Linked DNA regions of Saccharomyces cerevisiae S288C. The protein of the gene in region 2 purifies or fractionates together with the protein of the main gene of each other region. This does not show direct contact. Each region holds a gene or a part of one and is shown on either strand. Other genes may lie near its edges.

Evidence for each region. Proteins that work in one complex are often made in the same cells at the same time.
Region 1: the proteins of SNP1 (region 2) and SNU71 purify together in Saccharomyces cerevisiae (affinity purification with mass spectrometry; 8 studies listed by BioGRID, with this or other methods). This does not show direct contact.

The regions. Positions count from the first base shown.
Region 1 is NC_001139.9:512,554-516,312, reverse strand, and holds the start of SNU71 (Snu71p), read right to left. Parts: upstream 1,760-3,759; coding exon 1-1,759. Other genes in the region: MCY1 (putative cysteine synthase), read right to left, coding at 1,973-3,154; nicotinamide-nucleotide adenylyltransferase NMA2, read right to left, coding at 3,581-3,759. UniProt on the Saccharomyces cerevisiae protein: Component of the U1 snRNP particle, which recognizes and binds the 5'-splice site of pre-mRNA. Together with other non-snRNP factors, U1 snRNP forms the spliceosomal commitment complex, that targets pre-mRNA to the splicing pathway.
Region 2 is NC_001141.2:244,011-247,149, reverse strand, and holds SNP1 (U1 snRNP complex subunit SNP1), read left to right. Parts: upstream 1-1,590; coding exon 1,591-2,493; downstream 2,494-3,139. Other genes in the region: YIL059C (uncharacterized protein), read left to right, coding at 235-600; YIL060W (uncharacterized protein), read right to left, coding at 324-758; ARC15 (Arc15p), read left to right, coding at 2,688-3,139. UniProt on the Saccharomyces cerevisiae protein: Involved in nuclear mRNA splicing.

The DNA.
Region 1 (3,759 bases), on a different chromosome or scaffold from region 2:
TCTGGTTCACGCGGATGTTCTCAAGAATGTATTCCACCAGCTCGTCCTCGTAGACGCCGAGGAATTCACGCACCAGTTCGTCCACGTAGCGCGATTCCTTCAGATTAGTTAGTCTTATGTTCAGTTCATCTGCTGTAAATGGCAAACGGTCCTCTGCCGCGCTTCTCTCGGAGGGTTTTGTTGGAGGTAGCTCGCTCTCTCTGTATCCCTCGTCTTCGCTAGAGCTTTCAACTGAGTGATCAATAGCCTTCTTAAAGTCGAATTTGATCTTGACGTGTTCTGAGCTCTCAGACACATTCTTGTCCGCGTTATAGTTCTCGCTCTTCACAGTGCCTTCAGGAAGGGTGATGGCGGCAGCCTTCCCTGCAGATATGGCCTTACCATCCGATAGTTGTATAGGCGCCAGTTCCTTTGCATTTCCATTTTTAGCTCTATCCTCTTCGTCCCTTCTTTCCTCTTGCTCCTTGAAAGATCTATGGTGGTCGTAATGAACGTCGTTGGCAAGGTGTAATAGCTCCTTCAAATATAATGAGCGATTTTTCTCCAAATGTTCCTCATAGTTTTCAGCACTCATGATATCAGCCCTAATGGATTTTATCTTAGGCTCTGTATTGGAATGTAATTGGTGTAACATATCCTCATATCTACGATTTGATTCTTCCAGGTCTCTTTCTTCTTTTCTCTTCTCTAAGGCAAGGTCGTCTTCAGTGTCATCCTCCTCATCTTCATCTTCCATATTAGTATCCTCCTCCTCTGTATTGGCGCTCCCTTTGGCTCCTGAGTGGTTTTTCCTTATTTGATCAAAAACTTTTTGCATTTGGTGTCTTTGACGCCTACTTTCCTCGTACGTACTTTTCATTTTTTTTTCTTTCTCTATACTGACAACTTTTGTCCTAAATTCTATTATATCCTTGCACAATTGGTCCAAAGCATCCGATGGCAAATCACTTAAAGTGTTTGTATCCACTTTGTATTGTGTGGAAGAGTCATCCAACTGTTCTTTCTTTGAATTTCTTTCGTCTGTTTGATCTTCAATGTTTTTGAAAACAGAATAAAATTCGCTAGCCTTTTCTGGCTTAACACTCGGTATAGTTCCTGTTCGGTCTTCGACATATTCTTTTGTGTTCAAATCCAAGTGTAACTCAATCTTGAAATCCTCATGTAGCTTTCTAATAAACGCGAATAAGGCTTTGCAGTAGTTCAGCGTATTAACAAATGCCTCATCTTCATCAACCTTACTGAATCTTATAAAAATGTCCTGGGTATCTAAAAACGAAGAAAAAGAAGACCAAGCTTCTACTTTCAATGCGGAATTGCTTTGAGTTTCAGTCAACGCTAAATTCAAACAGTGGTCTAGCAATGATTCTATCTGTCCGCGAGAAAATGATGAAGAGACACCTTGTAAAGATACTGTATGAATCTGTTGGTCTAAGGAAATGGGAAGAAATTGTTTGAGCTCTTGGTAACGGGAAGAGCTTGTGGCGCACTTGTTAGCACTATTGTTATCTGCTATTGAAGCCTCTTTGTCTTTATTCAAACCAGTATTCTGGTCAGAATTGTGTATACTCCCATCATCGTTGCTATTTAGCAGTGTCTCTGATAAGCTGTTTCTGGCGTCAACTATATGTTTTAATGAGTCCTGAAAACGTTGTAGATCATTTTTGAGGATAGGGATGAACCCACTTTTGGCAGAATCACTTTTCCAACCCTCCTGTGATGACAAATACAGCTGCGGTGATACAAATACAATATCCCTCATGTTCTGTAAATCGACGTACTCTTAAGGAACTTTTATGAGCTTGATTTTGGTCCTGGTCTGTTTTTGTTCTTGATCTATCTAATTACTTTTGCACTTTTTAGCGGGCATCATTACCACGGAAAGTAGCAAAAAATGTAGCAGCGAAAACTGCTTTTTTATATTTGTTCCTACAATTTAATAGAAGATAACTCAGTACTGATTTATACATCTATGTTAGATATTTATTACTTCTTCTAATGACACGTCGTGATCGATTTCTTTAGCTTCTTTCCAGAATTTACTTAGGTGTCTTGAACCGCTGTCGCATGCAATAATCACAATGTTTGAGCCGTGAGGAAGCGTTTTTGCAACCTGAATAGCGGCTACCGCATTAATAGCTGTACTACTCCCCACGAATAGCCCGTCGTTTACCGATAGGTATTTTGCCATTCTAATGGCTTGATTATCGTTGACTCGTATTGATTCATCAATAAACTTTTCGCCCATATGAAAATTATGAGTGATTCTGTTTAACCCAATCCCTTCTACGATAGTGTCAACTTGATGCCTTCTTCTAGTACCTTCCTTCTCTACATAGTCATACATCACGCCATAGTTGACTCTATTATAAAAGCCAGATCCTTGTGGATCCGCTAGAACGACATGGCAAGGTATCTTTGCTCTTTCCTTTAAGAATTTTGCCACACCAGTTATGGTGCCACCAGTACCGCAGCCAGCAATGAATGCGTCAATATTTCCCTTAGTTTGATGGGCAATTTCTGGGCCTGTGGTCTGGTAATGTACTTTCCAGTTGGCTTCGTTTTCGAACTGATCGGCAAAAACTGCTCTTATTCCATTACCACTCTTCTTTAGTTCATTACATGCCTTTTTGGCGGCATTTACGTATTGGTTTGGATCGACAATACTAGCGGGCTTAACCTTATTAACAGTAGCACCGAGGCTTTCTAGTAATGCCAATTTTTCTAGCGATGTGTCATCGGGCAAAGAAATGTGTGCCCTATAACCCAACGCATTACAGACCACTGCTATAGAGATACCAGTCGACCCACTTGTTCCTTCAAATACCCAGCCAGGTTCACCTCTGACGAGCTCGCCTAATTCCTCAGCCGTCTTTATGATGTTTAAAGCCACTCTATCCTTAGCACTTCCTGCTGGGTTGCATAACTCCAACTTAGCGTAAATGTTAACTCCAGTAGCCTTGGTAAGAGATCTGATCTTAACCAGAGGAGTGTTTCCTATGAGTTCTTCAACGCCTTCTTTTGGACGTGGAATATCGCGTGTTTTGAACAGCTTATAGTATTTGTATGATGCATACGCGCCAATTAGGACGGAAGCGATGGATATGCATTCACGCCAGGCCAGACTGACAGAAGTCTTATTTTGAGAACAGGACATAAAGGATGTTTTGGTATATTCCGATTGATAGGGCTATTATGCAGTATTATACGGCATTGTTACTTCAAATATTACAAGACTTTTAAGTTACTATAGACGTGCAAAATTCAATATAGATCATTACCCGCATTAATAGTAACGCGAGTAGATCAAGTATCTTCGGATTCTGTATTTTATAAGCTAATTTTGCTGATTTACGTATACGATTCACTGGAATGTTTGTCTGAAAGGTTTTCCTTATGAAACTTACCGCTGGTGTGGTTATATTATAATTATTAAGTGTTAAAATAAATGTTTGACATTGTTCACATGATTGTTGCTCTGCTGTAAACATTTTAAATCGTGCATCCAGGAACTTTTTTTCTATGCACCTTGAAGAGGAAAGTGGTAAATTTGAACTGCTGCAGTATCAGAGTTGTAATAAACTCACTCTTTGCTATCCAAGACCTGCTTGACCGGTTCACTTTGATTAATGTATAGATTATACTCTTGGATGTAACGGATGACAGAGTTTGGAAGAAGATATTGAACTGACATTCCACGTCTGATGAAAAGCCGCACTTTCGTAGAGGAAATATCATTGTAAATAAGTTGTTTGATAATAA
Region 2 (3,139 bases):
CCATGACTATTATAAGCGGCCGGCAAAATTGCCGGGAAAACTGCCAGGGATATAATGCAACCTTCATTTGAGCACTTAAAATAGAAGATAACGTTGGTAAACCCCCCTTGATAGTGGACACATCCTACGTAGATCTCTCTACAGCCAAGTCGTATATATAGCAGCAAATTGCAACCAACCACATGGGACATAGGAATGAGTGGTTTTCTCAGACCCTGAACGTGACCGTCCATCATGAATTTCTCCACAGTTTTTCAAGCAATAATCGCGGTTTTAGGTTTAACTACAGTCACAGCTTTAGCAGAATTTGATTTCGACGTAGGCTATGAAGAGTTTGTCCGTACCAATCCTGATACGATTTTCTTAGAGAGTGATATTGGCCTGCACGTTGGATATACCGAGGGTGGCGAACGACAGATAGCAACGATACCACACAATTCCACGCTAGGGACTTCACTACGTGAGTATAGTGGCTGTGGTGGTAATGGTACAGAAACCTCCATCGCTACCCCCGCACCTACAATGAGTGAGGTACCTATCGCTACCTTCGTGAAACGTAGAAAAAGTGTACCTATCTTGCTACCGCAGGTATGTATGTGAAGAGTTGGTGAATTTTGAGATAATTGTTGGGATTCCATTTTTAATAAGGCAATAATATTAGGTATGTAGAATGTACTAGAAGTTCTCCTCGAGGATTTAGGAATCCATAAAAGGGAATCTGCAATTCTACACAATTCTATAAATATTATTATCATCATTTTATATGTTAATATTCATTGATCCTATTACATTATCAATCCTTGCGTTTCAGCTTCCACTAATTTAGATGACTATTTCTCATCATTTGCGTCATCTTCTAACACCGTATATGATAATATACTAGTAACGTAAATACTAGTTAGTAGATGATAGTTGATTTTTATTCCAACAGTATGGGAGGTATATGAACCCCTACAACCACTCATTTAGAAGTGGGGGACTGTAGTTCTTTTATGAAGTAACGAAATTTTATGAAGTAACAACAAATGTTGTTAATTGTAATCTTAATAATCTAACATTTAATAAATCTTGACCTTAGACTTTTTTGTCTATTCATAATATGCTGATATTACTTTTCTTAAATATAAATATAATCTATATAATATTATTAACGAAATGTAGGAAGCTAAAAAAAAAAAAAAAAAAAAGAAAGAGACTTTTATGCGTATATTTAGGTACCCCGGTACTTACTTCTGTATATATAAATCAGTGAATCAATACATATTTTTTTTTAATGTTTTGTCCTTATAACGCGACTTATTCAAAAGAAAAAAAGAAGTCCCATGCAAAAATCTTGTCATTATTGCGAATGGATATATCAGTGAGACCTTTTTAAGGTTGTAGGGAAAAGGAAGTACGCTTCATTACAATTTCGTTCATGTCTTGCTCGCCTACTTGTTTTGCTCATAAATCCCATCAGCACCATTGTATGCGCCCTTCGTAGGAAATTAACGCATCTGAAGAAAAAAAGAACTGCAAGATAATGACACACAGCACGGTCATCGACTGTCGAAAGGAAACCTTAAAAAAGTAATCGGCACCTCAACCTTGATGAATTATAATCTATCCAAGTATCCAGACGACGTGTCGAGACTTTTCAAGCCAAGGCCACCTTTATCTTACAAAAGACCAACCGATTACCCATATGCGAAGAGACAAACAAATCCAAATATCACTGGCGTTGCAAACTTACTATCAACCTCTTTGAAGCACTATATGGAGGAGTTTCCTGAAGGATCTCCAAACAACCATCTCCAAAGATACGAAGACATCAAACTTTCCAAGATCAAAAATGCTCAATTGTTAGACCGGAGACTACAAAATTGGAATCCTAACGTTGACCCTCATATCAAGGACACAGATCCCTACAGAACGATATTTATTGGGAGGCTACCATACGATCTTGACGAAATTGAACTGCAAAAGTATTTTGTTAAGTTTGGCGAGATCGAAAAAATTAGGATAGTCAAGGACAAGATAACCCAGAAGAGTAAAGGCTACGCCTTCATAGTTTTCAAAGACCCAATAAGTAGTAAAATGGCATTCAAGGAGATTGGAGTACACAGAGGTATCCAAATCAAAGACAGAATCTGCATAGTCGACATAGAAAGAGGCAGAACCGTTAAATATTTCAAGCCAAGAAGATTGGGCGGCGGCCTAGGAGGCAGAGGCTATTCCAACAGAGACAGCAGGCTTCCAGGAAGGTTTGCAAGCGCAAGTACATCAAATCCCGCCGAAAGAAATTATGCTCCCAGGCTGCCACGCAGGGAAACTTCTTCCTCCGCATATAGCGCTGATAGATACGGCAGTTCCACATTGGACGCGAGGTACCGTGGAAACAGGCCATTGCTCTCCGCCGCCACTCCTACTGCTGCTGTTACTTCTGTATATAAATCTAGAAACTCACGGACTCGAGAGTCTCAACCAGCTCCCAAAGAAGCGCCCGACTATTGAATATAAGTAATACTTAAACTCTGCTACTTGTTGTCTATGATTACCCGCACATCAGTTAATTTGGATACTTTTTTCCCTTTCTCAGACTTTGCCCCTATAACAAAATAAGAGAAAAACAGCCCGCATTTAACACAAGATACTATAGCAAAGGAGACCAGAGAAGACTCAACACAACACACGCGAACGATCAAGCAATGGAAGCCGATTGGAGGAGAATTGACATCGATGCATTTGATCCAGAGAGTGGCAGACTAACCGCTGCCGATCTGGTACCACCATACGAAACTACTGTCACATTACAAGAATTACAACCTCGAATGAATCAATTGCGCTCGCTTGCCACAAGTGGTGACTCTTTGGGAGCCGTTCAATTACTCACAACCGATCCTCCATACAGTGCAGATGCTCCAACAAAGGAGCAATATTTTAAGAGCGTCCTTGAAGCATTGACACAAGTCAGGCAAGCCGATATTGGTAATGTAATCAAAAATTTGAGTGATTCTCAGAGGGACGTGCTGGTAAAGTATCTCTACAAAGGAATGTCCGTACCTCAGGGCCAGAAACAAGGGGGTGTCTTGCTTGCGTGGCTGGAAAGAATTACTCAAGTCAGTGGTGTCACACCTATCGTTCATTATATATCGGATAG